2 linked regions of the Drosophila melanogaster genome follow. The protein of the gene in region 1 interacts with the protein of each later gene in a pairwise test. Each region holds a gene or a part of one and is shown on either strand. Other genes may lie near its edges.

The links.
Region 2: the proteins of CG10651 (region 1) and Dok interact in a two-hybrid assay, tested with the Drosophila melanogaster proteins (one large-scale study listed by BioGRID).

What each region holds. Positions count from the first base shown.
Region 1 is NT_033779.5:20,127,729-20,142,275, reverse strand, and holds CG10651 (uncharacterized protein), read left to right. Parts: upstream 1-7,352; 5' UTR 7,353-7,374; coding exon 7,375-7,494; intron 7,495-7,552; coding exon 7,553-7,944; intron 7,945-7,994; coding exon 7,995-8,433; 3' UTR 8,434-8,521; downstream 8,522-14,547.
Region 2 is NC_004354.4:7,322,619-7,340,676, reverse strand, and holds Dok (downstream of kinase), read right to left. Parts: upstream 16,464-18,058; 5' UTR 16,089-16,463; coding exon 16,005-16,088; intron 15,142-16,004; coding exon 14,824-15,141; intron 14,581-14,823; coding exon 13,114-14,580; 3' UTR 11,871-13,113; downstream 1-11,870. Other genes in the region: CBP (sarcoplasmic calcium-binding protein), read right to left, coding at 161-373, 2,821-2,961; CG42780 (uncharacterized protein), read left to right, coding at 8,500-8,610, 8,666-9,096, 9,167-9,389; Acsf3 (Acyl-CoA synthetase family member 3), read right to left, coding at 9,522-11,086, 11,170-11,359, 11,440-11,517; Atg5 (Autophagy-related 5), read left to right, coding at 17,005-17,157, 17,232-17,331, 17,414-17,519, 17,895-18,058.

The sequences.
Region 1 (14,547 bases):
AACGGGAACGGGAACGGGAAAAGGGAGGAGGTGTTGGCCCGGGACTACTCGATAATGCTTAATACCAAAGGCGATTACACTAATGGTGATTGGCTTTATGCTTTACGAGCGACTCAAAGTGCCAGCGAGAGAACTTAACGGCTGCTAACTTTGGCCTAACTGTTGATCACCAGCCAAGTTTTGTCCGGCACTCACAAATCTTTTCGCCCTGTTCGGCGATGGTTGTTTTTTTTTTTTGTTCCCCGCCAGGCAAACTACTAACAAAGTCGTGACAAAGTCATTGACTGTATGGCATTTGCATAGAAATGCAATTTTCGGCCAAAAAACACACACAACGGAAACCGGGGAAGCCGTCGCCAAAGTTCTTCCACCCAGTTGCGCCGCATCCCTCCGGCGACAAGCTCATATAATTGGGGCCCGCGTAAATGGTCCTAAACCCGCGCTGGAATCGATTTAGCCAAGACCGCTTAGCCGTTTTATCTGTATCCGCATCTCCACCTCGGGCTTCCCGAAAATTGCTCGGCTAATAGTTGGTCTCCGGCATATTGACAACTTGTTTAATCATAAATTCCATAACCTAAGCTGGCCCGTCCACAAAATATGGCCATAAGAGGGCCAAGCCGAGCAAGATGGCAATGGCCAAGAGGAAAATGACCATTCCTTTATTTTTGTTTTTGGGGTGAATTCGAGGATGAAGAGTCGGATTGTGGTTGGGCAAATTGGAAGGATATTGTTCTGCTCAGAGATTGCTGCGTTAAATATTAGAGGAGGTAATGGAACTTGTGCCTTGGCATTTCTTGGATTAAGGATGACTTTAATATCGAGGCTACATTTTAGCGTCACAATATAAATGCACATAGCATAAATGATATATATTTTTTTTTTGATTTTCTCGTTAAATGCAATGCCATTTATCACTTCATAAAAGCACTGAAATATATTCGGCTGCACAACCATCCACATAAACAGGCAAACAGAGAAGTAGACAGTAGACCCAAAGTTACGAGTTTTTGTCGTACATTTCACTGGCAAAGCTGAAGTTGTTTGAAAATAAACTGCAAAAAAGTAACTTTTCAATTAAAGCGGAAGGGAGTTTGCTTTTTGCACAAACGTTGCAGTAAATTGATTGAAATATGCAATATTTCAACGGATCAATAAACGTGTTATCTATCCATTTGACTGCCGCTCAAATCTAAAAGTCAAATACGAAATGTGAACCACACGAATGACTCTGATGGCAAATTTCTGTGTACAATTGGCCGCAGTTTTTGCATTCGTGACAACAGCATATGCTATGGAAAGTGCATAAAAATGTTATAGTCATTACAATTAACACACTCACAGCCATAGCTGGAAAAATCAACCACACAGAGAATAAAAGCGTTGGAAAAATCGAGGAAAACTCTCTGACACTCTGGCTCGCTGTGAAAACTGTCAAAAAATCACGTTACTGATTTTTGGGCAATTGAACGAAACGCTTGCATTGCGGCGATTGAGATAAAACAATTCGCATTCATTTATTATTTTCACGAAACAGTTCGTTCCCCGCGGAAATTTAAAACAGAGAGCAAACAATTTTGGCCGATTTTAGAATAGCAACAGTTTTTTGTTCGTTTATTTAAATTTCTTTATGGCCTTTGCTGATTGGCATAAAACTTTACCCCAATGGAGCTGCACTCGACATTTGACTTTTGAAATGACCGCAGCAGCCCACGGCGGAATGGAAATGTGGAGAACTTGCAAGAGTGCGCACTACCAAAATTTGCCACATTGACACAATGAGGCCAAAACTGAAGCGGGGATAAGGACAACACAGTGCAGCGAACCTGGCTGCCAGCTCTTTTAAACAATTGCATTTTTAATGGCTTTGAATGAGAGAAAAGTTGCTTTTCCACTCACTAGAACTAATTTACGATTCCGCCAATCAGGAAAGAACTTCCCTGGAGCAACTATCGATTGCATTTTCGGCCTGATGCATTCCGGCTTTAAAAGATTCCCAAATTGAATACACTTTTTCGGCCCGTTCTACATCTCCAATGTTGTCAATTTTGTTTATTTAGACCAATCGATCGATACATATATGACAAAATATGTTTGTCCCGTCGCCAGGGTGAAATGCTTACATTGATTCCTGCATAACAAATAGTTTACTAACCAAGTTCATCTGGCAATGTATTTCAGTCTCTCCTTTTGACAGTTAGCAATTTCGAGAACTATAAGATGTTAGAATGGGTATAAAGATTTCAAAGATGACCATTTGGCTTATGTTTAATTTAAAACAATGCCAATAAAAACAACAAAGAATCTGTGGCGCCCACAAAAAATTATATATATCTGAATTTGAATTTATATGTTTTGCTAGATTTTCCCAGAGCTTAATTGAGATTTTGACTCTTGATTATGAACATCCATCAAAAAAATGTTTCAATCGGATTATTTATTAAAAAGTATAAGCAATTTGTGTAGCAGCCGCTCGGTGAAGCTCATAGTTAAAGCAGTCGCTTGCACATTCCACCCCACCTCTTTTAGGGTATATGATAGTCGGGACACTCGAGGGAAAAAATTAAAGAAAATTCAATATTACTCGTATGCATGTGCCCTCAGTTTCTTAATTATTAAAGTTACCTTTTCATTGTATTCTCACAAATATAATATTAAATAAAGTGCTCATATTCTGTTACCATTCTATTCTGTTGAGTCTATTTACGAGCATATGTTCATAGGCTAGTTTATCGGTAGGCACAGCTTGTTATCACTATCAACGCATCGATGCGTTGAATTTTAATGCATTTACCAGGATATACCGAAAGAAAAATGACTTGAAATCGAAAGGAAATGGGTAAGAAAGGTGAAAATTCAGCAAAAAGCAACAGTATGTCTTCGCGTTCTCCAAGACCATTTCCCACGACTTGGAACTCGATTTTTTGCTCTAGGCTTGCGCCTTGCCGACATAACTTAATGACGTCGTTTTATGTTTCACTTTGGCAGCGATGGCAATAAATTACCTGTGTCTCGACTCTTACTTCAGTGCTGTTGCGAAATGTGCAATTTCGACCTCACCTGGTCGTACCCACCCGAACTCCGCCAAAAGAAAAAACCCGGAGAATTCATTGCGTTAGGTGCTGGGATTACCGGAGTGGAGTTTCCTCGGTGTCTGCTGTGAAAAGTGAAATTCCGGGGCATGCAGAGACTGAGGAAGCAGCCGAATGCATGGAAACGGAGATGGAGACTCAACACCTGGGCAAATATTTCACATGACAAGCCAAGGTGAAAACGGTATGCCGAATGGAGAGTCAACGGGTTGGCGTTAGTTTGATTTTCCACTGTGGTCGCCTGAAAAATGTGGTTTATTTGGCTTAAAGAGGGTTAAATTTTCACTGAAACTGTTAGGATATCTTCTGGCCTGAACTTACTGCTGTCTGTCGCTGCTTACTTACTACCTTAAATAATGCTCATTAATTCATTGTGCACATTGCATGAGCATTGAAGAGCCATTAGTCAATTAAAATTCGAAAACAATAAAACGGTTTTCAGAACAATACACAAATGCCGCCTGTCAGTTGCATAAGTGTGTTGAGTGTATAGTTTTTTAATTTCGTTGGCACTTCAAAAATGAACTCGAAACTTGGCTGCACTTCCTGGTGTGGCAGACACTGAAAGTGACAGAAACAGGGAAAAAACAACGGGAAATTCGAAGGGGACGAGGACGAGGTGGTTGCATTTTCACACCTGAGTGTTTTGCCAGTGGCAAGTTGAGCTTAACTAGACAGACAGTCGGATTGTCCAAAAGCGTCAAAGAATTCTCGCCTGATTGTGGATAAACTGTTTTTCACTTGGCTGTCACTGCTCCAACTTTGCCAGAATTAAATCCCATCTCTGCTCAAGAGCCTTCCAACCGAATGGCTCTTAAATATGTACAGAGTATTCCTTAAAACGCGGAAAGTTGTGCAAATATCCCAGGTAGATTTACCCCACAAAGTCCAGAGTCTTTCGCAAAATTTGTTTAAACACTCAGAGGCACTTGGGTAAAATGCACACGTAGCCAGCTAGCCACGTAGCCGAAAAGAGGTAGAAACTTGAGGCAAACTATCAAAAAAAATAAAAAGAACCACATTACACGGCCAATTGGGAACTGATTGGGTCTGATTTTGGCCCACTGAGGTGGATGAAAGTGCAGCTCGACCAGATTGATTGCTGTCTGCAGAGCTGGCAGAAATTCCCCCCCCCCCCTCTCCTTGCTTAACCCCTGCCCACTTTCCACTCCCCATTCCAAAAACCCAAATCCCCAAGCCCATCCCAGCACACACACTGAGCCACATCTCGAGTCCCGTCTCGAAATCCTGCCTGCGCACTCCAAGTGAAGAACATTTAGCCGCCGGGCCGCCGCAAAGTATGCAATGAGCTTGCACCGAGCTTGCTGAGCAGGCTGTGTTTGTGTCGTGTAATCTGGGCGTTATAAATAAGTAATTAGCACATAGTGCAGGTGCACTGACTCGTCAAACATCGCATCGCTCTCACATTCCGCAGATCGTACATGTATGTGTACGCCATGTATGCAACACACCGCACCACATTTAATGGCCTCCGAGGAGCGCAATTCGGTTTCCAGGTCCTTTGTTCTCGCATAATGACGCTCTAGCCTTATCTTTCAAACGTGTCAAACATTGCGTCTTGTCTCCATATGTAAGGAAGAGCGACCTTCGGGCCCCAAACTAAAAATAAGGGAAATAGCCATGTTGTTTGCTTGTCCAAGCAGCCTTTATGCCTCGATCATCTAGAATGCAAGTGGTTTTAATTGCTATTGCGAGCCAAGAAGCCATCTTCTATCATAGTTCTTTTACAAACACAATCACGGCATGTTGGTAAACTAAGATTTAAATTACAAACGGTTTGTTATATGAATTCAATTCAAGTATTTAAGAAATATCGAATTCCTGGCACAAACATTTCCTTGTTTAATTCATTTAAAGCACTCATTGCAATTGAGATCCTTTTAATGAGCACACATTTTCCAATGTTTATTCAAGCGCAATATGCTCCAATAAAGTTTCCGACAATTCAGCCTGAACAAGGACACCTGAAACGGACCGAAAAGGAGACTGTCAGTCCGGCGACTTAATACTGAAGCGGAAACGAAATAATGGCGCCAGAATGCAGTTTCAATGGCGCTGGAAATTGGGATTGTCATATATATATGTGCGAATATGTGGATTCGTGGGCCTGCCATCTCCCATTCAATCAGGCAATTAACATTAATTATGATACACGCTCGAGAACCCATTTCCCTTTGGCCACTCATATCGTATACTTCATGCATTTGGCTCGCGTTAAAAGCATTTTTGCGACAACTGCTCCCGAAATTCAATTTCGGTTTCCTTTCTTCCGTGGCTTTCATTTTACTTTTTGCCAACGACAATATGCGCAGCTGATTTCCCCACAGGCAATTGGGGGGATCGTAATTAATGCGACTGATGGTGGTGTTCCTCGGGGCTGTGTGTGGAGTCATCAGCCATCAAATACTCACATATGGCAATCGATATGACAATTTGGTGCATCCATTTTCAGCAACTAATTGGAAGGTAAAATCTCTGGAGAGGTGCAAATATGTTGCTGCGTATTTGTTTAGTAAATATTAGTATATGATTTGATTGTTGCCATTGAAAATTGGCATTTAATATGCATAAATGTGAAACTAAAAACACCGGACAACTATCACATACCCTGGAACGTAGATATATATTGTAGTAGCACCATGACGATTGCTAACAAACTTGCTCACTACCATCTTCATGGGCGGTAGAGTGGGCGTGGTCGTAGATAGTGGCCAAATGAATGTATTCCAATTAAAAATGAAATCTTTATTGATAAATGTAGGGCGTGAGTGTTTTTTCAACGAATCTAGTTAACCGTGTTGCTCTACGAGTAACTGGCATGATTACAGAAAAAAATGTATATTCATTTTACTAAATTGATTTATATTGATTATTAAGTTAGCTGGTAGTAGATATGCAAACATTAAACATTAAGAATATTCATGCAGGCTGAAAAAAAGATGTAGATAAATGTAACATGTGCTATCGCTGATTTAATATACATTCAGATCTAATGTATTAACATACTGCATTAGATTTTTTACACCCGGAGCATTTTTATTTAATTACTCTGAAACGTAGCTACATTTCTATGAAAACCGCGTCGCTTTTCTTTTTTTAACACGTCAAGAATTTCCACCTCTGATAACCTATTTCATTTGGATGCAAACTGTAATCGCGTTTTTTCACTTTGAAAACGAACATGGCGTGAAAAACGTATGTAACGACTTCGGCACATTTTTTAACTTTTATTTTTGCCCCTCTGCTCTGTGTCACATCGCTTACTCGGTTCGTTACCTTTCAAACTCAATTAGTTTAATTAATTTGACGTAACGGTGCCATCTCTTTGTTGCCAATAACATCAACACGTCCAAAGAAGTACAGAGAATCTGCACCAGGTATGAAAAAGTAGCTGTGGGTCTCTCGCTGTGAATTTTCAACTCACTTTTTTAAGCCTTGCGAATGCACTCGTCCTTTCGAAGACCTTAAAACAACGTCTGAATTTTTCCAGCAACTTCTTAGGCGAGTCTTAAAATCGAACTTCTACAACTCTAGTGCTGTGTATTTTGTACTTACTTCGGTCCAAACCGCCAATAAGTGGATTAGTCTTTTAGTTGAGTGGCTTAACGAGTTGCAGCCAGATAGACAAAGCAGGGGGAAAAAAACTGGGGAACCTGACTTCCTTTTTTTTTTTTAGCTTAACCCCTGTTAAGCGGCAAATGTGGTGCAGCTAATGTGTGTATTATTGGATTTATTATTTCACGGCAACTAAACAGGGGATTTTACTGCCCATCGGTTGAACGAAGAACGTTGGGCTGCAAAAGTTCACGAGACAATTAAGTGGAGTACAAAAGCAGAAGTACGGAAACGAGTTTTCCCCCGTTAATTTCCTCATTCAGCGACTAAATGCTGCAATCAGACAGCCACTTAAGCTTAAGTCGCTTCCTGAATCAATTGCCTATGCCATTTCTTTATGAGCAATGCAAAGTGCCTTGCATTTCAATGCAAAAACCCATATAATTGATAGAAGGGACTTCTGGAGAGTGAAAGATCTTTAAATCTTAAGAACTGAATGGCCAATGCTGTCTCAGTGATACGTACCATGCCCTAAAGACACTTGGAATACAATAAATGAAGGAACGCCTTTCAATAAGTGATGTTAGCAACCCAATTAGTCGCGGATCAAGCGTAGAATTAACGATTCATTATATGCTCGTCAAGGCTTCGATTTATTTATTTCAAAACCTCTGTCAGAGCATACACAACTCTGGTTATTTATGCCATGATAAAGTGCATCTGGCTGCTGTTCTCCACATTATATATTCAAGATACAGGCGCTTCAGATAAATGGTGCAAAGCTGACCTGTGCCGAGGACAACACGTGCTCTGCGATGACAATGGAGTGAGTGGGTAGTAAACGGGAGACCAAATCATTCGGATCGCTTTACATATTCTTACAGAATTTTGAATCCACTTGTCCCAAACAAGCCGCAGCCATGGTGAAAATGAGCTGGGATATGATAGCCCTCATCGTGGACAAGCACAATGAATATCGCAACAAGTTCGCCGGCGGAATGGATCAGAATCCGAAGGCGGCAAGGATGACCACGATCGAATGGGATCCGGAACTGGCCAAAGTGGCCGACGGTCTGGTACGTCGTTGTGAGCCAATCCGAGATCAGTGCGCCATAACCCCAAATTACGGTCATGCGGAAGTCAGCTATTCGCTGGAAAAGTACTTCTGCATGACCACGAAAAAGGAGGCCCTGAGGAAGCAACTCGATCACTGGTTTGACCCCAATAGTAAAGATGAAGTGCAGAAGCTGTTCTTCTCATGGACTAAAAATCAGCAGTAAGTCCATGTACCAGGAAGTCCAAAATATTATTGAAGACCGTTTCCAGGGAACTGTCCAAAAACTACTTTCAGGTATTGAGGGATCGAGCTAATCGCGTGGGCTGCGCCATAGTTGAGTATGTTCGGCCAGCACTGGTCCACCAGTTGCTAAAGTGCGTCTACAACTGCGGAGTGAGTCTCTGTGAGGAGGAGGATAATCCCGTCTACGAGGACACCGACGAAGAAGCCGCTTCAGAGTGCATGAAGGGAAGCAATAAGCAATACAAGAATCTTTGCCACAAAGATGAGCTCGTGAAGACCTGCAATGGTGGCTCACTTTTCGTCGAACCTGAAAATGATTATAACGATGGTCAAGAAGAGAATATGGAAAACGATTATGAATTCGAGACCACCGTGTTCACACTTCCAACGTACGATCCAAACGATGTGTTGCCAACGCTACCAGACAACCCAGATTTAAATTTCAATACAATAGTTAAGGACTAGGATCGGGAATAAACAAGTTATTGAAAAGTTTTGACCCTAAATAAAATTTCAATTCATTCCGATCCAAATGAGATGCACAACAGTGAGTAAAGGGTGAAATGCATATCTGACTGTAATATATTAAATATGTCCTTAGTATCCGCGATTTTGATTGCTCTGTAAGTGGAACAGTGCGATTCATATGCGCAACACTAATATACATTTTCTGCTTCTCTGGTTTTGATGTGTGACATCTTTGGGATGTGTGGCTTTCGTGGTGGCAAGTGGTCAGTAAAAGTGTATGAAATGCAAGCTCTCGTACGGTTGAGGTTTCTGGAAAGTGGGTTTCTTTGGCACCGGGGGAAATCAAGGAACCAGGACTATCATGCATGCCCCATTCAGCCACTTCAAGTGCAACTGTAAATGAAATGAAAACAACCGCACAGAAGTAACAAAACAGGACAACAAGTACGTTTCCCCCTCCCCTTTTCAGGAGCTTAGGCGTGTTTCGCATGAAAGGAGTGGAATTTCTACCAGAAGACTGAAACTTATCAAGAGAGAGAGAAAAGTCTGAAAAGCCTGAAATTTCCTTAGTTCATTGCAATTTCAGCCTGCCATTTTGCAGTTCGGATTGGGTGCAAAGTGAAAACGAAATTCAATCAATTTCACGAAATAAAAGTCCTACCCCGATGCACATTTCCACAGCAATGATTTCAGTTTTCAATCCGCTTTACTTTTACGAATTCCGAAAGGCAATAATCCTTATTTGATGCTCGGCTAGTGGTTACTAAAATAAGACTAGCCACTAGTGCTGGCTGGTATATATGTATGCATCAGCATAAAATATGGTAATCTTCAAGTTGGGTTTTAATATTCGCTCGCATACTAATGCCGGGTTAACCCGTCCGGCTAAACCGTCAAAACTGTGACGCAACCAATCTGAATTTTAATACCAGCTTCTGCCCAGGAGTTTTCCACCACCCCCACCAGGTGGCTAGGTAGTGGGTGGTAGTGGGTGGTATCTTCCCTCTGAGACGGAAGAACCCTGCCTGAATGGCTGTCGCAATGTATTAAATGGCCAACGTGGCTTTCGAGGGGGGTGGATGGGCTGTGGGCTGACTAGCACTAACCGCAATTTATGTCGACTTCACTTCCGGTCTGTGGGAAATAACTCTTGTTAGGCTGCCAGCAGCCAGCAGCCAGAAGTCCTGCCCTGTTGTGCATTGTGCGTGGGTGTGGGTACGGGTGTGGTTGTTGGTGTGCTGGCGGTATTTCTTGTCATCATTTTCAGGCAGCTGCAAATTAACTTGCATAATTCAAGCGTCAGTGGGAAAATGTGGCCCGAGTTCATCGGCGCATTTAAAGCCGGGCGAAGACTATTATGTCCTTGTGGCCTTGGTGCCTGTTAAATTATGAGCCCACTGGGCGCATAAATCAACACAATGCCTCTCCATCGCTCTTTGGCTCAATTAATAAGAAATTTCCATAAATGAGCTTTAATTAGATTGGGCGCCAAATTGAAAATGGTTAGCGTATACACGAAGTTGCCTGGTTAGACTCCGCTAAAAGGTTTTCGCCACACTTCGGCGAAGGTAAATTGGAATTTTCAATAGAAGATATATTCGCCCTTATTAAACTTGCGTTTTCCCCTCTCCGAATTTCGTACAAGTAGAAGTTTTTCCCAACCACTGGGAATTACTACTCATTATGCATAGTCAGTATAGGACGATAGAATGACGACACAGTCTCTTTGTCCTTGGATGTGGCGCCACGAAAACGTCAAGATTCGGCACTCTCATAAATTCTATGGCGCGTGCGGTTCGGGTTTCTAGTTCGGAGCTCTGAGTTTCTGCTGCCAGTAAATCTGAAAATGTTTAAGCACTATCCGAAAAATCGAGAAGCCACTGCAAAAGCCAATGACTGCCACTTGGCAACATTGGGAATTGAGCGCAGCGGAAGCCGAGGAAAAAAAACTCGAAGAAAAGGAAGTAAAGTATAAAATGTGAATGCGAATGCGAATGCTGGCGGCTTGTTGCCGGCATTGGAAATTTACGAGTGACACAAATGTCCTTCCTGCTGCATTGCAGTCGCTGGCAAATGGGAAAGGGGATGTGGATGGGAAAAGGAATGGAAATGTGAATAGGAGAAGCTGGTTTAATGACAAGACAAATTATGAAATTTTTAGATGCTCAACTCCCTTGGCAAAGTTTCAGATAAAAAAATAAAAAAAAAACACGAGTTTAAGGAAACCAGAGGAGAAGAGGGAAAAAGTCATTAAAGATGTAAGTATACATGTATAGCAAATTCGAAAGCTTTGTGTCACATTCAGTGTGATATATTATTATGACCTAATATGACCCTACTACTACACATGTTTTCGAAAATATAATTAATACGATTTTTGATAAATGGCTTCTGCGAGGTCGCACCACAATTACATTATTCAATTGCAAAAATGGTAAGCACTGAATGTCAAATGCGAACATTTCGGTTCGCCCACACTCCTTAACGAGTACAATTCAATAAACTTTAAATTGGTCAACTTTAAAACTTGTGTCCCCGTCGACAAGTGCAGTTCAAAGTTATTCGAATGCAGCGCTAGTCTGAAAGGCAATGCAATCCCTCGGAAATCCGCAAACAAAGCCGCCTGTCTTTCATAGAACTTGGTCCTGGGTGACATCATGGGATAACAATAAAGCACACAAAGCCAACAAAAAGCCGCAAGAAGCTACCAAGTTAAAGACAAAGGCCCTTGCCACATATTGTCTCCTGGCCTGGAAGATGAAATGGAGATGAAGGAGGAGCAACTGGAACCGTTCCAGTCCTCAATTCACATGCATGTGGCCGTGTCAGCAGAAAGATTATCAACAATAAGAAATATGTCGACCTATCGAAGTTGAAGTGACAAAGTGTGCGGCGCTGGTCCCAGCCCACCACCCATCCATCCATCCATCCATTCGGTTACAACCAGTGTTTGGTACCCCAAATCTCAGGGACCGACTTTTGTTAACAAGAAGGATATTGTGGCTGACAGGAGTCGACAACGTGCGGCCAGAATTGATGCGGGTGATGGCTGTGGACATTTGTGTTTGCCACTCGAAACAATAAATCCACTCGAGGCGAACCCGAAAAGGAAACTGAATCAACCACAATAACCCGGCGGCAAAGATCGCAAAATGTGAAGGACCCCGTTGACCAGAAAGATTCAAAGTCTTCGACAACTGAATTATGGACAAAGTTCGACAAGGTTGCTGGATTGATTTGGGTCCGACTGTATCTCAATTGACCAACTGACCTCATCGGCTTATGTAAAACGTACATCCAATTGATTTTCATTATTAATTGCTTCCGCTACTTTTTCCACAACGGACAACGGAGCGTAAATCTTACGAAACGCAACAAAAAAGAATTACAGAATTAAAAAAAAAACCATTGTGTATTTCAAGGTTATTTGGCAAAGAGAAACTTCCATTCCATTACAACCGCAAATCACTCAACACTTTACTGCCGAAAGTTTTTGAAAACTAATTAATTAACCTCTAATTGCATTGCCAATGAAATCTGATTAATCAATCTGCATTGCATACAACAGGAACAAACCTACTTTGTACTTTGATTAATTGCCAAAACTGGGGATGGCGAATAAAAATGCATTTCAAGATTGGCCAAAGCTGTCCGAAAGTTAAATCAATCTTCGTTTCGCAAAGTTTTCCTGCTCTTGCTTTTGACACTTGGTTGGTCGCATTTTCTGGCCAAAAGCGAAGGAGGGCCATAATTGTCAGTGGCAGGTTCTAGTTAGTCCCAAGATTGGGAAGAAAAGTTGAGAAGGGTTGAGTTCAAGACGTGATTCGACGTCGTCGTAAGATGCTGTACAGGCAGTTGCACGAATATGAATATAAATAAGAGGTTGGATGTAATAAATGTTCGACTTTATACAAATTCTTAGACTTTTTAAGAGTCATTAATTTAGGTAGCAGCCAACTCGTTGGCTGAGTCTGTTCTTCAACTACTCACAGCTCCACGAATTAAAGTGAGTTTTCTTTGGCGTGCTCCAACCCAGCGCCATTGTTTTCCCAATGATTTTCCTGGCCCTCATTTGAATTCCAGCTTTAGTGCGCCATAAACTCGTAGTGCAAATACAAGAAGGCAGCACGAAAGTCGCATTGAAATTGAAGCCTGTCTCAATGTTTTTGTTGTCGTCTGGCGAAGACACTTGAGACTGACATATAAAACATGTCTCGTTGAAAGTGCGTGAGTTTCTGCTTTGCCTGCATATTGCGAGGACTGCCAGGACTCAGACTCATCGAGGCAGACATGTCCTTCCACTCACTCACAAGCACGCCTATCCATTCCGACTTCCAGTCCATTTCAATGGGCAAGCTCACTCTCTTATCGTCACAGGCAATTTGATGCCTGATATTTTTACCATTTAGTTCAATCAATTTGTCACAATTTCCGGCAGTGGTTGATAAAAACCAAAAACAAAAAACAAAACCAACACAACCGGGGCAAAAGCACCCTGAGCCAGGACCTATTGAAATCTAATGGGACACACAGCTCCGTGACTGTGGAAGACGATGAGCATGGCGATGTGGATGCTGCTGCCTCTGGTGGGTGGATGGGTGGATTGGTGGACGGGTGGATGGGAATGGGTGGATGTGGAATGCTCGCAGGTCATTGATCAGATCTACGCGACACACATAACAATGGGCCCTGGACCAAGCCCAAACTGGCACGTACTCCGAAAATTTGTAACTTGTTGAAATAATTTCCTTCCTTTTAACCCCAGAAGGATTTGTGGTGGTTAACCTTTCCGTATGGGAAATGTCAAACATTTATGAACTGAATTATACATATACATTTTTTTTATCGGCAAGCTAATATTTTAAAAATATTTATCGAGGAAAATGATCTACGATTTTATTTTTTTTAGGTTTTTCGTTCAATGCGAAAAACTAACGCCACGATGGTACTGATATAACATATTAGCTATGTACCCATTTTAATCAATTAAATAAAGTGGTGTCAAGCATAAAGTGATTGGGTTTATTATTGCACTGACACATAAAACAGTAAATCCCTTTAGGGCCTCGTACTTCCTATGCATACTAATGCAAATGGGATATGTTTCCGAGTAGGTGAGATCAGATATTTATGATATATTCGGTGGATTTGACAACGCTTACGAGTTTCCTTATTCGCCCTTCATATATTGTAGTTCTCAGAGGAACTGCAAAGCGTTGCATACCTGGAGGCGCAGTCGAGAGTTATGACAGAATGGCAACACATTCACACACTCACACACGCATTTTGGCGCCTTTTCTCCAGGGTGTGCACCCCTTTCAATCCGGACTTTTCCTGGCGGCTGCAGTTTCTATTAAAATTCAAGTGCGCTGCAGCACAGTGGCAGTGAGTAAGGAGTGTTTTCCGAGTCCCCTGCACGGAAATTACATTGTAAATTTTACCGCAAAGTCCAAGCTAGGCCAGGCCAAAACTGGTACCACCAAAAAAAAAAAAAAAGAGCAAAACAATTTAATTAAAAACCGTGTGGCGAACAGGGATTCGGCTTTGTTTTGTGCCTGGGATTTTTACACACATAGTGGTGACCCTTAATTAGTTGAGAATCTGCGCCATAAAGGTCAACGAAAAGACATAGTATTACATTTCAAGTTCGTTTGTGGTTAAAATGTCGGGTTTTTAATGTTGAGAAAAAAAAAACAATTACAAACTATATTGATTTCAAATAAATCGTAAGTAAATAAAACTTTCAAACTGAAACTCTGGCGTTTAAGCTGGGCTTACTCAAAACACGCTGTGTATCTATATTTTATAAGCAATTGAATATGAATATAGTTATGCTTTTATTTACTAGTTAAATATAGAAAGGTGAAATATTTATATAAAAATCTTTTTACAAGAAATTGAAGCTGGTGCCGCAAGATACGCAGATACCTCGTATTAGAGCACTTAAGCAAAGTGTGCCTAATAAGATAAAAAGTAGATAGCAGGCACTACATTTGTCGTTTCTCCCCGTTAAATCGCCACCTTTTTATTGAGCACTTAAAGCCTTGATAATGTGTCAGAGTGAAATGCGGAGGAAGGGGTAATTTAAATCCGTGTCTGGTGGCAGCTTTG
Region 2 (18,058 bases), on another chromosome or scaffold:
GTAGAGCAGGTTCAAAAAACGACATTGAGCACGATAAACAAATTTCGAAACACGTTTCTCGGCCTGTCGAGCAAACACAATTGAAATTTCTCAGCCACGTGGACCGTGTGTTTTATGGATCTATTTAATGGATTATGCATTTCTCAAGCAGTTCACTCACCCGTTCGCTGCGCTTGGAATCCATTTTCTGGCGACGACGCTCGAACTCATCATCCGAGTCGGAATCGCTATCACTTTCCACCTCCCGTCGCAATTTGGCCGCTCCGGCCTTCTTTGAATATTGACGGACAGCCTGGACCACGGCAGTTGGCATTTGATGCCAAAGCAGTGAATGTGCTCCATGTCCACAGATAATGCCGCCAGATGCCAGGCGCTGAAATCAGAAAAAAAAAGGAAATTAGAAAAATGTGAAAATGCAAAATGTATTGGATAAGTTTCTCTATCATAATAATCATTTTGATTGTGCTTTAAAAAAAGAGATGCTAACGTGTCATTAATAATGTTACGCAATCATTATGCTATTGTTTTGTATTGTTTTTGTGTATATTTCGGTTTTCACAGCCCCATGCTGAATGCTCTTTTTGTTGTTGATATGGTTGCTAGACGCCCTTCGGTGTGTAAGCAATCATTATGTTTTTAATTACAACTCAGCGCACTGCTGTTTTCCTGTGTTGTTTTTGTTGTGCGTGTTATTTTCTCATTGTTAAGGTCAGTTCTGTTTACTCACAAAACAATTCTAAACCTGATTCGTCGTTATCTGTTTTTTTTTACGAGTTTTCCATCTTTGGTTCGCCTTAAAAGTGCCAAAGAGTGACTGTCAAAATGTATCTCAAAAAACTCGGTCTACAGTTTGAGAGGCGCTTGGTAATGGTAAAAAACCACGTGGCGATCATGTATGTAACGAATTTAAAAGAAGAAATTGTAAACCAGCAGGAAAATAGCTTCCAATATATATAAAATATATGTAAATATAGGACACGGTATTTTACACATATATAATACATTCAATGTCCTTTGCTGCCAACATTGCAACTTTGAAAATTAAAAAAGATAAATATTGATGCCAATAACCAGTTCGGAGAAAGGTTTTTTCCATCACCTGTGCCATTAGGAAAAGATAAAAAACAAAATTCGCTACTCTTTTAATTACAAGAAACCGAATTCTCTTGTAAACGTTTTGAATTTCAATGGCTCTCGATAAGAAAGAATCCAAGTACAGATGTTGCCAGCCACCGACGACGATGATATCATGCATCATACCATATAACATTATCATAAAGCCCGCACACTTATTGTATTGGACTGACTGCTTTGGGACCTTTTTTCGGTTCCAGTTGCTTCGTTTGGTTAAACGAACTTTGGATTGTTTCTGTTTTTCGGTGTTTTTTTTTTCGTAAACAAGTTTCTCCAAAATACGAATTAATGAATGCAAAAAACGGGCCTCCTTTCATTTGAATGTCTGCGCGTCTCGAAAATAAAGAGAAACACGTTTCGACCATAAGAAAATTAAACAAAAAACAATGCCAATGATTTATATGTGGAAGATGCAGAGAGTAAGAAGACGGCAAATAAAAATCAAAGTCGAGCAACAGGTCAATGTTAATTTAGCAGCAAACAAGAAGTAGAAAAATTGCGAATAAAATCACTTTAATCATTTCCTGTGATTCTAAAACTTCTTTTTCCGTGGCGGTTAGAGAAAAAGTAAAGGGAGGTGGGGTACTTTTGTTGTTATAATTTCCAATGCTTTTGCGCAAGATTTTCCTGCTACAGAATTTGCGCAGTTTTCCGACTTTCAAAATGAGGGGGTTGTTGTCGGTGAGAAGGGAAAACAAGCTTTCACCTGAATACACGGTGAAAAATACCAGTAAGTATTAATATTGGCTTAGCTGGTTAAATTAATGTATGTTGTGTCAACATAATATCATAAATTTCGTTTCAAAACCGAAACTTTTATGCAAATACTATTGGACGGTATTTTTAAAGCTAACAACATAGGAGTAAGATGAAACATGTTTATATATTAACTGAACTATTTTGTTGAATCTATTGATTCAATACCAACATTTCTTTGTGTGTAATTTCCACTTGTTTATCTTACTGTATCTTGTTTTATTTGTTTCATTGAGGGATATGCCTCTTTCGGCGCCGGGTTTTCAATTTCTTATTGATTGATTGAAGTGCTGCGCCCTTTAATGATTGATGTGCAAGAAATTTGCCAGCACCTAAACGTATTTTATAGTTAATCATCAATTGAAACCAAAAATCAGCAATATATAATGCTGCTGCTAACAACAATAAATTAATAATGCGGGAATGAAAAGTTAATAAAAATTAGAGAATTAATAATCCCAAACTCTCTTGTATTGCTAGAATTATAGTTGGGAATATCTATTAATATTAATCAAGAATTGAACTCGAGTTCTTACAGTTTCGAATGCACTGCTACAGTTTACTTAGCACTGGCCTCGTTTCGTGAACATTCCCGCTCCCAATTTTCATTCTCCACTTCCCTTGCTTGTCTGTATTCACCCCTCTTCCTCACTATTTACAGTTCTCCTTCCACCACTTACTGTTTTTCGAATTGCGATTCTATTTTTCTGCTTTGTTTTGAGTTTATATCATGCGGAACTGCTTTTTGGTTGGAACATCTTTTGTGGAACTGGTTTTAAACTCTTTATTTTATAACTGTTGCTTTTAAGTTTGTTTTAGGAACTGCTCTTTCCTGTCCGCTTTGTGATGCTAAGTTTTTCTAACTGCTTGTTTCTGTCAATTCAATTAGTAACCTTAACTACAATGCACTGAAAGAAAAGATGCACTTACGTGACAATCGCTGTGCGAAATGGGCGTGTTTGGGGGCGGGGAGGCATTCTGCTGCAGAACGCCGACAGTTGCGGCCATGTTGCGTTCCAGAATTTCTCTTGAAGTGCGCAAAATACCACGGCTCACGATGGAGAATGCCATTTTGTTTTTCGCTCAAGTTTTAACCTCGGTTTTCTTAAATTTTTCCTCAATTTTCGCTACGTTTTCCTTACAGTTTGAACTGCACTCGAGAAAATGTGCAACGTTGCTTTTTTTTAGGGATTTTGTTGTTGAACTCTTGTTATTATTTCGATTGCAACGCGCATTTAACAACCGGTTTTTTCGAAGATGCACCACAAAAAAATGTTTGCCTTTATTTTTCTGCTTTGTTTTGTTACACTTTGTTTTTGAGTCCGCTAATTTCTATTTTGATTTCTCTGTGGTTTCAGTTTTTTTTTTTTTTGGATATCTTTGCTTGGGAGTAAACACAACCGTTCGCTTAAGCGTTCGAATTCGTTTTGAAAACCATCGCTGCGCAAAGAAAAGAAGTCGACGTCGACGCCTGTAAAAGCAGAGCGGTCTTTCTGAGTGTGTGTGAGCGGGAGTGCGCGTGTGTGTGTGTGGTTTTGTGTGATGAAGAGGGAGAGGACAGCATAAGAAGGGAGCAGGGAGAACAGCTGCTACTTGGAATGGTTACCACAAGCAGGCAGTACACACTATTGAAGCCAAAATATTAGTAGTTACATTTTCAAATGTTCACGAAATCAAACTTTGAGCTGCATTAATATACACATGCATATGTGTCGCAAGAATATTTTTGAATATGAGCGTTCCCAAATGTTAAAACCAGCTTTAAGAGATGCGGAGGAATTAGTATTTAAGTTTTTTAGTTCATATTTTTGCGCCCTTGGCTGTATATATGTAAGTACAAACACAAAGGCAAGACCATGTAAGCCGGTTGAAGAAGAAAATGGAGAGGAAGCAGGAGCACAAGAAGAAGCAAAAACAAACACAAAACCCAGTGATTGTCAAACCTCGCTTAAATGGAGAACTGTATTCGTTTTCAAAATAAAGCCCAAAGAAAATGCATTACATAAACATGGGATTACACACACATATACATACACGGACTACAGTTTTCCAATTGATAACGTAAACGAAGGAATCCAAAAACAAAAGCCAAAACTCAAAATGAAAATATCATAAAATGTGCGTATTTAGGTCGCTGCGTGTGACAAACTGTCGGTCCAATACAATATGCCCCAAGACACCCTTCCCCCCTCGCTACGCACTTCCCCGAAAAGTGCCCTCTACGCACACACATACAAATGAAGTAACACAAATACCTACGCACTAATAGTTTCTGTTTTTCCGTTGCTGTTCTACTTCATTGCTCCACAGCAAAACGCATGCTTACACCCACACGTGTGCGGTAAATATTATAGGATCATTACAACACTTTAAAACTAATAACATTAAAAGATCGTTTTCAGTTACATACCAATTAATTTCAAGCACTTGGCATTTTACCACCATTAAAGGTATCTTAAACTATTTTTTATAACCCAAATTGTCCAAAAGCATAATGCACTATGCTGATCATTCTTCGCAACGGAGCACTATTTCTAGTACCTTCACTGTGGACACCCATACATACACAGCTGTACATACGTGTAAGATTGTATAATAGTCTTGATCAAATAAGCGCCAGTGGACTTGGACCCAAAAAACATTGCATCGAAACGAAAACAAAAAAGAAACCATCGAAAAAATTAATAAGGGGGTAGTGATTCGGAATGGATATATCAGTGGCCGGCAAAAATTAAAGGGAATTATCAGCTCCACTAATTCCCTTTAATCTTGGTTCATTTTAATAGTTTTTACTGCCCATCAAGATCAATGCTTTCATAAATCCCCCATAGTTTTGCAAGCACTGGTTCCCCGCAAGAAGTGCAACACTTTACGTACAAAATAAAAAAAATCGAAGGCCCCCCACTTTACCGTTTCGAATGCGGCAAGCGGAGTGCACTGCACTCTGCGGAGGCAAAAACTTGAAAATACAGACGGAAAACCAAAACATGTGAGCAGCCGGGAAGTTTCCAAAGCGGATTATGCGGCGGTGAACTCGAGATAAATTGAACATAATCCGTTTATAAAGATAATGGAACATATCTATACATACATATACATACATACATACTATCTGCTAGAACGTTCTGCTTTTGTCTGTGTTCCTTTAAAGTTAAATATTACTTCTATTATTTTATTATTGTGATAGATGCGTATTTGATATCTCGATAATACCTATTCATAATATTAGCCACAGTAATGCATAAACGTCACTTGTTTCGGGGTGGACGTGTGCTTGGAACGAGAACAACCGGCGCATCGGCTGTCTGCTGACTTTCCGACCGTCACGTAACACCAGGTCCAGGGACAACAAAAGCAACACAAAACAACTGCAAACATATGACCACCAAAACAGGGTCTCCAACCATGTAGTATATACATACATATGTATGTACATATGTAGGTGTAGAGTGTGTGCAGTTTAGCATGCGCCCGCTACAAATACATAAATTATAATCTATTTGCTGCTGCACCTGCAAACAAATAAACAAATAAAGAACGAAAATTGGAGACACACGACTAATGACGTCACAAATAGCTTTTAACATTACACCCACGATCCACATGACATCTACATAAGTAGCTCCAAAACTCAATTGCCGAAAATTAAAATGCGTAATTTAAACGCGCGCGCGAAAAAGGTGAAAAAAAACAGTAGAAATACCTTTACAAAAACTTTACTACTTAAATAATAGATTTTAAATCTTTAAATTTAATACTTTAATTTAATACTACATACATATGTAGATATGTATGTACATATCTATAATCAAGAGTTCTTAAAACATAATTGAAAATATTTAATACTTTATATTTGATTGCCATCTTAGCTAGTGCCCACTGTATTGTAATTGTAAGTCCGCTCCCAAGATTTTGCTTCTGTTTCATTTGTCTTTTTGGGCGGGGGATCCAATCGAAATGGGTGGATCGTTGTCGAGCGGGAACACGCACACACGTGTGCTATTCGAGATACCCGAGAATATTGGACAAGATCGTTTCGTCTCGTCGTCTCGAAGTGGAAGCCTTGTGCTCCACGAATTTGTGATGTTGTGTTTTCTGCTTCTGCGTTTCTAGTATTTCTTGTCGCGCTTTTCAAGGTCCGCAGTTCCACAGTTTTGATGCCATTTCAGATTTCCGCAACGCCATTTATATTGATGTGCGTATGTGTATGTGTGTGATGTGCGAGAGTGCGCCAGTTGTTGTTTTCCCCCTGGCTTTCTGTTTTTTTGGCGTACGTGTTGCGCCCCAACGCCGGCTCAAAAAAAAAAAAGTTTAAAAAAAGAATTAAGGCAGAAATTATTCTTGTTCGCATTGGATGCTAGTTTAACCCTCTAAAATGACAACTGTTAAACATAGTTTTTGGAGAAAATTTAAAAGAAATAATCTCATCTTATCACATCAAAAACAGATGTTTATATTAAATTCGAATGCAACATTCACATAATAGGTATTGGTCTAAGAATCATTTTGAGTTCAGATACAAAGCGGAAATTGTATTTATATTTGTTTGCGTACGTTTTTTTTTCTTTTTTTGGTCAGTGCATACAGTCTTTCTCACGGGTCTTTGGAGGGTTAAGCAAAAGGGTTGTTTATCTTTCGGGTTCACTAGTTTTTCTTTCAGTATGCGGATTTTGGCACGTCGACACACCGGCGACAGAGGAACGACGCCAACGTCGGCAGAGAAGTCGTGCTGCGACTTTACATAAAATGTCATAAAATTTAATTGCGTCGTGCATTGGTGTGTGTGCGTGTGAGTTTTCCAGTTGCCTGCACCACCAGAAAACAAAATAAAAAAAAGACAAGAAAAAATCAGCGACTACGTGCCACTTGCAACGCATCCTTTTCCACGTTGTTGTCGTAGGTCTTCGATTTTTCAAATTCATAACACTCCAAATTTTATGTGGAAAAACAATGAAACTCCTTTACAAATATACTTCAATATCTTTAAATATTACTGCTTGATAATTACATTAGAGAATTGCTTTTTAAAAAATGCATTCATTACATATTTGTAATTTGAAAATGCGTAATTTGTAATCGTATAGTTTTTGTTTAAATGTATTTTTTGTCGTGTAATTAATTAAATTACATCTGACGGTCGCCTTATCAGCGACCTGCTTATAATGGCTGATAAAACCCCAAAAACAACAGCAATGCCCAAAACAAAAAATAACAACACATGACTTTCTGACCATCGCGAGTTACAAAACCCAAACGGTTAGAGATAAAAGCCAGTCCAACTTTACGGTAAAGATTAGGCCAGAAAACAAATACGAAATGAAAATGAAGTAGGCAAACACAAAACAGATTTGAAAATTCGAAATTGCTTTTCGAAAATGTTCGGTAAATAGAGGGGCCAACAAATTTGGCGGGTAAACAAGGCTATTGATTTCCGATTACAGTTTGAGAGTCACTTAAGGTAGCGGGTTTGAGTAATAATATATTTGGTAAACAATATTTGAATGTCCATTTTGCATAAGCAAATAATAACATTTTTGTTCCGAATACATTAACTAAACTAAAGTTATTTTCATAACAATATAATTTATTTGTAAATTCAGTAGTAAAGTTTAAAAAAAAAGTAAAATTGATAGATTTATGTCGCTTGCATTCGCCTTTATCGGTAATGATAAATGATCCAAATTAATCTTTTATTTATGGCCAATAAACACACTTTTAGGGCTTGTGTAATTGGCCTTCAAACACAACAGCATTCTAAGAAAGGAAAACAAAAAAATCAACACCGTGGCCCAGAAAAACAAAACCAAAACAAAAACATGCTAAAAATCTAAACAAACATAAGAGGCATTTGAGTTTTTTTTTTTTTTTTTTTTTGAGGTAATCCACACCGGCACATAACATTTAACCCTGATGTCGGGCGATTGAAAGCTCCTTAAGTGGCAAGTGGAGATCCATCACACTGAAAAAAATAAACAAGATCACTTCGATTATTTTTGTAGCATTGAATTTGAAGCTCTTCAATTCCAAGACCATAAGCAATGGCATTTTGGGCTATTGTTCTAAGACTTGTTAAAACTTATGAGGCATTCTATTCTACTATGCTTCTATTCAACATTTTTTCCCCTGTGCACTGTGAACTGCCATTTAAAATAATTGTAAATAGGTTTTTGTTTTTCCCATCGACTGCTATTTTTAGCCACCAATTAGAATTTGCTTAGGGGCTTTATCTGGCTCCCAAGAAGAAGAGTGCGAAAAGGGTAACGACTACGTTGTTCCCGGCACGTTAACACAAAAATTGTGCGTAAACAAAATTGTAAACAAAGATTACGCAGTAATCTACCATATCTCTGCATGCTTTTGTAATATATGTGGGCGCTAGAGTGGGCGTGGTCTTTGGCATTATGACAATGTTTTGGCAAAAAAAAAAAAATACGAACCTACTGACTGTTTTTGCGGGTTGTAGGCGATAGTTATAACTTATATACTAGATGTATATATTCTAGATTTAAGTACTGTCGTGCAAATTGTAAGCAGATAACACTAATTGAAACATCATAGCATGCATATAAGAGCGAATTGTATTTCCTAAAGTCCAGACAAAATCTTAAAATGTCAGTCTTTACGTTCAATATATTCGTACTATCACTAGTTCTCCATAGTTTGGCAGAAAATTTTTGCAGGCAGGATCTCTGTACCAAAGGAACCACCCACATAGCGTGTGTAAGTGATCATTCGAAAACTTAGCGACAAATTTCAATATGTGTTATGTGAGCAGCAGAATGTAAACGGATCCTTTGGTAGCTCTTGTCCCAAAGATGCAACCGTGATTAAACTCAATCTTGGGGATAAAAATGCTCTGATCAAGGCCCACAACTTGGTGAGACAAAAATGGGCTAGTGGCAAAGCAAAAATTAAGTGGACCGCCTGTAAAATGGCCAAAATGGAATGGAATAAGGACCTGGAAAAGCTGGCAATCTTAAATGCCAAAACCTGTCTTATGGGACATGATGAGTGTCACAATACGGAAAAGTTTCGGCTATCTGGACAGAATCTATTTGCCATGGGATTTTCTCATGCTAGGATAACGAAAACTAAAATGAATATGACGTTAAGCATGCTCTTCGAGATGGCAGTTCAAAAGTGGGCAGGCGAGGAAAAGGATATTACCGCCGAGGACTTAAAGAAAACGACACCTAATCCACCAGAGTTTGTCACTTACTTTTTTTCCCATTTATTAGTTTCAGTTTCCTTTTACGCTTTTGTTTTTTTTTTTTAGAGTTATTGGCCACTTGACCGTTTTGATCAATGAGAAAAGTAATGCTGTTGGTTGTGGCTTAGTTGCATATAATCTGGGTGAAATCCGGCGATACAATCTGGCCTGTAACTACGCTTATACAAATGTTATTGGCGAACGTGTTTATGAAGAATGCGCCAAGGCAGGCATAGAGTGCGCAAAGGGAATTGACCAAAAGTATCCACCGCTATGTGCTAAAATATAATGATTTTAAAGCGATTTAGTAGCACTATTGCTGAAGCTTAAATGATATTATTATTATTATTTTTATTTCTATTATCATAACAGTCAGTAATCACTTAAATTTGCAGCTATGGGCTTAGGGGTCGTCTTATATCTACTTGGAAACGAGGGTCTTGAAAACGGTAGGGCATTTGTGGGCTGGTAGGTGGCGATAGCAGTATGTCTTGATCGCATCCAAATCAATATCCGCATCCGGGGATACAATGCATATGACACCAAGACGATGGCCCCACATTTTATTGGGAATACCTAAGACAGCCACATCGTTGATATTCGGATGTGAGATCAATACCTTTTTGATTTCCGATCCGTATACCTTATAACCGCCGACGGTGAAGATATCGCTGCTTTTACTTAAAAAATAAAAGTTTCCGTTACGATAGGCGCAAATGTCTCCGGTTTTAAAGAAACCATCTTGGTTGTTCTCCTGCTCCTCATTGTTTGTGGTTCCTTTGTGTTCCATTTCCTGATTGTTGTTAGCCAATGTATTGGACACCAAATTGGAACCAGCAATTTGAAGTTCACCAATTATGGTTCCCGCCAAGGATGCATCGCCGCCGATATCCTCCACCGGTATTAGGCCACTATCCACGGATCCACCGAGTTCGTTTTTGCAGGTTATTAGCTCGTCACCCTTATTACTGATCAATCGGGCCGTGACTCCCTTCAACGGCGAACCCAACGTACCCGGTCGATAATCGTTGGGGGCGGTATTATTGGCCATAGCAACCGCTGTTGGACCATTATGTGGAGAGTCACGTTGTCGTTTATTTAACGGATGACCCAAAACCAATCCCGTTTCCATCATTCCATAGTATTCGTATATATTTTGACCCGTTATCTCGCGCCATCTGTAAAACACCGAATCCGGTAGCAAGGCAAAAGCTGTCGCCATCAATCGTATCTTTTGCCGGCAATGATTCACAATGTACTCAACCATTCTCGAATCCTTGGCAAACATTTTCTCATACTCGACAATCAGACGCTTGTAGACAATTGGCATGGCCAAAAAGAGGGTGACCCGTTGCTTGGATGGGCTATTTATGCCCAATAGAGCACTCCACGCATTGTGACCATCGAATTTTTGCTGCAACACCACATTACCGCCCACACTGAGAACTGCTGCCAAGGCGGCATGCATTCGATTCATGGATAGTATTGGCAGCATACAGTCTGTAGGTCCCAAATGCCAAGTTCCGATCAAACATCGCATCTGAGCTTCGATATTCCGATGGGTCAACAACACTGGCTTGGGACTATTGACCGCATTGGGCGTATAGATCAGCATGGCTGGTGCCTTGGAATAGAAATCGTTTGGAAACGTATTTTCCGTTACGATAACACCCTGGATCGCCACCAGCTGTTTGGCATACATCGATGTCGAGGATACACTCTCCGCCGTCGGGAGAAATGAGTGATCCAATATGATGGTAGCTGATTTCACACCCTGCGACAATTCCTGGGCAAGTGACTCAAATTCCTTAGTGGCTATCAGTAGCTTGGTCTTGCAGTTCGATGCCTGCCGTTGCAATTGATCTATCGCCTGGCCGGATTCCAGTGGAACTGCCACTTGTCCGGAAATCCAACAGCTCCATTGTATAGCTATCCACAGGGCGTTGTTCGAGCACAAGTATGTTACATTCGAAAGCGCGGCGCCGCCTGAAAAAAGAGAAGAATTTGCAAACTTTTTGAAATTGAACCGTAAATAAATTGAACGTCCGGAAAAATGGTTTGTCACTTACCACATATATTTGAGATCTGAATGCCCAGACGTTTGGCGGCCATATACAATTGAAAATAAGTGTACTCCCCATTGATGTCTTTCACGGCGATCTCATCCGGATAGAGCATAGCCTTTTTGAACGTGGGCACCACCACATTACTACGCTCCTCTTCATCGAAACTATGGCGCAGCTTCTCGATGAAGCCATCCTGCAAACATTAAATAGAAATTGTGGAATTGCAATTACATAAATATTATATATATATATATATCTACCTATATATATTACCTTATGTATCAATTCGGCGGAGCAAAGACGGGCCAATGGACGCAACTTTAACTTGTGGCAACGGCGAAGTAGCAGCATCTTACTGTTTTTTTTTTGTTTTTTTTTTTTTTTTATGGATTATTTGATGGTGTGTGCGCGAATGCAGCTATTTTAAATAATAGTACAAAGAGCAAAATTTAACTCAGATTTTCAGTTGCTATCGCTTGAAAAGCCAAAACGATTCTGAGATTCGTAACATGACATACTTGAGTGGACACAAATGAAAGTCGTTCAATTCGATTTGTTTGATTTTTTGTTGGTCTTTATTTACACAATAATAGTTTGCAGACACAAAAATTAATAACTACAATAGTCATAATCGTAAACGTAAGGTAAGTAAAAAAAAAAAGATGATATATTTCAAGTAAAATGAACGTCACTATTTTTCTTTTGGTATTTTTCTTATTTGTGTTCGCCTTCGTTTGTTCGTTTTAATTTATATAAATTTTTTTTTTTTTTTTTTGTGACCTTTGCATAATACTCAAAACTGTCGTTTACAACAATCCTGGCTTGAGAACTCGAACGTGCATGGGGTAACGATGGGGCGGGTTTCTTATTTGGGTTATTGAGAGGAGGTGCAATCGAAAACAACACTTAAGAAACCTATTGTATATTTACAGTCTAAGATTGAGCAAAAAAAAAAAAAATAAGAGTCAACTATTTTGGGTGATTTTTGAGATAATGGCATTACACCGTTTGTTCCTATGGCAGCTATATGATCTATCATACAAAAACGTATAGGAATAACAATTCGAATAACCGATTTATATGGCATCAAAACCTTGAGAAGACGGACGGATAAACGGAAACAAGTACAATTGCAGTGTATTTAAAATCTAGTTCCTTTAAATATACAAAAACACATATATTTAGCATAAATCGCATACACATTTTGTAAATTTTCGTTACGTCCATGATTCGATTGAGTTTCATTTTTCTCTTGCTTTAATTTAACACTACATTTTAAGTAAGAGCCGGGGGAATTTTTCGAGTGCGATCATCAAGTGGCGGGCAGTGCTTGCTAAAAATGTAACAGTTTCACAATTAACAATACAATCACAGATTACGAATTTAACATAATTAACGAAAAACAATTACAAAAAAAAAAAAAATTGAACGATTCGAATGGTATTTGTTTTTGGCTTGGCAAAGGGAAGGACAAATTCTGGGATTTAGAGATTCGACGCACTTCCTTCCCTCGATTTCCAGCCAGGAATTTCTTTCTTTTTGTAGAACTGTAAGGCACTCGGCAGTCTCTTCTTTTTCACTTATACTCAAAATGTATGAAATTATGTAAAAAGTTACTGGCACGTTACTGTTTTCAATTTTGTTTTTTAAATTTTTTTGAACATACATTTACATTTGTTATCGCAACACTTAAAATGTATCGCGAAAAGCACACAAGCTTATTCATCTGGCGTCGTCCAATAACGAAATAGTCATGAATTTGACTACTGGGAAAATCCAAATTAACATGTCAACAAGTTGTGTTGAATTAAATTGAAAACAGCAACAGTTCTGGGACAAATAAAAACTAGGACTATCTCCTCCCGATCCACCCCAAAACCCCACTGCACCCAGTTCGATGCCAGGATCTCTGGATCCTTGCTATCGGATCTGAAATCCTTAAATATTTTACACTCGCTTCGGTTTGCTGACCATTGTGTAGTTGAGGCCATTATAGCTGCGATGATCGATGGCTGCCGCCTCGAGATTGCCGCCTTTGTTGGCCGTTGCAGTTGTGATGGTGCTACTACCGCCGCTGATATTGCTATTGGAGATTCCTAGATTATTATTGTTCGTAGTGGTGCTAGCCTTTCGCAGCACCCCGTAACCGCGATGACTGTCATCGGCTTTACGGAAGCTTTCCGTATCGGGACTAGCGATCAATTCGTATTCATTGGGTGGCGGTGGACTGCATCGTATGCGATTACCGGGTGTGACATTCACAATGGTCTTATAGCCACTCGATGTCTTATTGTTCGGCGATAGAAAGTCTAAACGATCGTAATTCGATTCACTAATGGATGTGGCGCTAGTGCAACCCTCACCGATATCGATGTCTATGATCTTGGGTGTATTTTGGCTGCCACAGGTGGATTTCGATACTGATCGCTGGCGTACAAATTCTGAGGTATCGCAGAGTATGGGCATACGTTCACTGTGCCTAACATCGCCCACGCCCCTTGTGCGCCACGCCTCTGTGATATTTTCGATGCACTCGTAATCCCGCTCCGGAGGCGGTGCTTTCGAGGCGCTCTCATTTCGCAGCGGCAAGTCGGGCGGTAAATCGGCTGCTGTTTCCGGCAGGGATATCGATTCGCCTTCCAGGGGTTTCAGTATCACTGAACTGTTCACATCGGAATTGGCGGATGGCGAAGATATCGTAGTTATGGCCACAGGTTCATATTTCACAATATTCCTGTATTTATCACAATGGGTTGTCGGGCTTTTGCGTGGCGGTTTGTTGGGAATGTGTTTGCTGCTGCTGCTGTTGCTATTGCTATTTGCGGGCACGGATAGCGTGATTCCTCCGGTACTTCCTAAAACGCCTCCACCCGTTGCTGTGGCGCCACTTGCTCCACCTCCACCCGCCGAGAAGTTATTAAGAGAATCGTTAGAGCTAATGAAGCCCCTCAGGGATATGCAGCTTTGCGTTGAGTTGATCTCGAACTCGCCACCGTGGGGATTACTCGACGGTGATGGTGGCAGTGGGCTTCGCGAACCGGGCTCCATGCCAGCTGCCGCACTAAACTGATTCTCACCGCACTCCAAGGTGCTCAGACTATCGCCGCTAATCAGTTTCTTCATCGACTTCATCTTGGCGGACATGCAGCGGAATACCTCCTGTGGATTGGTGTGATCCAGGGTGAAAACGCCTTCGCCGGTGGTGCATTTTCTGCCCGCCTCAAAGGTGAACTTGCCATCGCGATAGCCGTACTTCCTAATGAAACGATATGGCCACATGGCGATTGTGGCGCCCAAATCCTCCGATTTCAACTGAAGTTCAGTGGGCGTCATTTGGAGCATATATGTCTTAGGTTCAATGCAGCAACGAATGGAGGCCTCGGATGGAATCAACGTGATAATGAACAAGCCATCCTGCAAATTTATAAAAGGTGTGGATTATTATGGATTTTTTATGCGGTTCGGTTTTTTTTATATTCTTATTTTAAACGTGCCAATTATTGTCAGAGACTAAAAATGGAATTGGAGGTGCATTTTCACGTTAGTTTCTTAAGAACGCTTTAGATTCATCGTATACCCCTTTTGACAACTATAAGATTACGCAAATATAACGAAATACCCCAGAAAGTTTTCGCTTATACAGAGATGATCACTCACAAAGGAGCTGCAGTAGAGGTCGTTGTCCTCCTCGATGGCCCCGATTCCCCCCGATGGTGAGGTGTCACAGAAGGCCACCGTTTGCAGGGCGGTGATCCAATCCTTGAGCTCCTCCTCGCTACTTGTGCTCAGTGTTAGGGTAGCCTGCCGCTTGACAATGTGAATGAGGCGTTCGGGAGGCGGCTCCTGAGTGATCTTCACACAGTTTTCGAGGGTGAAGATTTTGGGGTTCCGGTCCTCCTTGCTTTCGCACATCTCCAGGCGGGCAATCCCATGCCGACTGGCCTTGAATAGCAAACAGTAGCGACTGCATGCTTTCTGCAAAAAAAAAAAGAAAAAATTGGGATTCGATTAAATCGGTTTGGATGTCTTAAAACGATTATATCTTAGTAACGTACTGAAGAAGATGTATTGTATATGTATATGTATATGCATATGAAACTGCAGTGTATAAATAACCAGAATCAATTCAAATTTGTCTTAAGATTTTGTAGTATCCTGCATTGGATAATGCTAAAAAAAAATATAAAAATAGAGTATGAGCATAATGGGCTAAACCGTGAAGTACTTATTCGCCCTCACTCTGCCCCTTCTCTGCGATCCCCTGCACCACCACCCTTTTTCCCCAGTTTTCTGCTGGCTCAAGAATTTCCTGTCGCGCATAAACACAAATACCACGAAGTAGCATGAATCGCCAGCTGTGTGTGCCATCTGAAACTCCAACAGTGGGGGTAAAGTTATTAGGATCAATGCATAGCATGTTATTCGAATTTTAATTTAACTTAAAAGCATCATATTATTACTGCCTGATATATTGTTTTTAAATACGGTTTCACTTAATTCATTAAAGGGTTTGTGTTGGTCTTGGAATATTAATATTATTAAAAATGATATGCTAATATTATGGCCTTAACTGTATGAAGTCGGCCCCTCTCTCGCTCACTCCCTCTACCGCGTATCGCTGTCTCACTCCCACTCGCACAGTGGGCCTCATTTGTATGCAACAAGTATGCAGACAGAAACACATGCACATAACACACTCACATTAACACATAGGTCCTGTTTGATTTATCGAAAACTACGCACTTGTAGGATAATTGCAAACAGAAAGTAACTTTTTAAACCCTGATAAATGGGGAAATATTTATATAGAAGGGCGGAAATACGGCGATTTTCCATACCTTTTTCGAGATGCGATTTAGCGAAAATCCAGTTTGGGTCGGCACATTAAGATATCCAGCCAAAACAGGTATTTCAACATCCATTCTGTGCACCACTCCTCCACCTCTCCTCTCCTTCTTCCCACTCTCCTTCGTCTCCTGCTCTCTTTCCCTCTCCTTCGCCGATCTAGCTCACACAATGCGCCTCCGATTCCGAATTGTTGTTGTTGTTGTTGTTGCTGGAGTTGGGCTATGCGATTTCTGGAGTTTTCCTTCAATTCATCCGTTTTTCTGTGCTTTACGATAGCTTCGCGGTCGCATTTAGTTGATCACTTCATAGTAAACATCACATCATATCGCACAGCGAATACGGAGATTCGAATTTCGAAAAGCGCAGCCGCAGCACAAAAAAAAATCACCAAAAAGCGAGCACAGAGGCAAGTCGACTTTATTTATTTATGCGCTGCACGGTTGCATGCAGCTGCTGCAATCGTCATCGATAACTAATGGCGATCGATAACTTATGGTTTTTTGGTAACAAAGCGGTTGAATTATTTCTTAGGTCTAAAATAATAAATTAATATCATATTTTTATAATCTTGGTATGTTTTCCTCTCCTAGCGCGCAATTTTAATTTCTCATAATTGCGTTGTTGGAGTTATCAACATTTCGATCAATACGAAAAACTTGTTATATTATTTTTTTGATATTTTATATTATTTTGAATGCAAATATATATATATATATATCTATGTGAAATATTAAGTTACAAATTTATGGTGAAAATATTTTCTGTGAGCAAATATTTTAATCGCGTGTGTTTAAAAAAATAGCTATGAATAAAAATAAATCAAACAGTCTGGCAGCAAAGTGGCGTGCGATATTTCAGCGTTGCCATCTTCGAATGCCAAGTGCCATCACTATTATCAAATAGCATTGTTTCACCCATCTGGTAACATCGCAAATCGTATTGTGCAAAAAGGAAATATAATTTAGCCAAAACAAAAGCCAAATAAGGAACATGGCCCACGACCGCGAGGTGCTGCGAATGATCTGGGAGGGCCAGATAGGCATATGCTTCCAGGCGGATCGGGACGAGATCGTGGGCATTAAGCCGGAGCCTTTCTATCTGATGATATCGCGACTCAGCTACTTGCCTTTGGTGACTGACAAGGTAAACAAAGGCTTCAAATGGAAATGGCCATACCAATTATAAGATCCCAATGACTGTCGTACATATCCTGGCAGGTTCGCAAGTACTTCTCACGCTATATAAGCGCCGAACACCAGGATGGAGCTGTGTGGTTCGACTTCAATGGAACGCCCCTGCGACTTCACTATCCAATTGGTGGGGTTTACATTAACGAGATGATGATATCATAGCATGCCCATTTGATACTAATGATGGTACTGTCTTGAATCCTGGTTAGGTGTCCTATACGATCTGCTGCATCCGGAGGAGGACAGCACGCCCTGGTGCCTCACCATTCACTTCTCCAAGTTCCCCGAGGACATGCTCGTCAAGCTCAACTCCAAGTATTTATTAAAGAAATCGCCATACCAGTTTGTGTACCCCACAGTCGTGTTTGCGAAATCTTATCTTTAACACGTCGTAACTTGGGATTGCAATCATATATAGTTTTCCCTTTTCGAGTCTCAATGAACAATCACCGTGGATGTCGAAGTAATAACAGGGTAAACAATTGCCCATCAAGCAAATCCCGTGTTATAAGAGAAAATGTCATATAAAAGTTGGACCAAATATGAATTAACAACTTCGCACAAAGATAAACGTACCACAATAGGGTTTTTAATACGTTTCAAATATTTGAAAATAGCATAGTTACCTCGACTAGGGTACACAAACTGTTGGTTCCAACTGAATTTTTACTGATGATCCGCAACTCTTAGGGAGCTACTTGAATCGCACTACATGTCCTGCCTGAAGGAGGCAGATGTGCTTAAGCACCGCGGCCTGGTCATATCCGCTATGCAAAAGAAGGACCACAATCAGCTTTGGCTGGGATTGGTCAACGAAAAGTTCGATCAGTTCTGGGCCGTCAATCGGAGGCTAA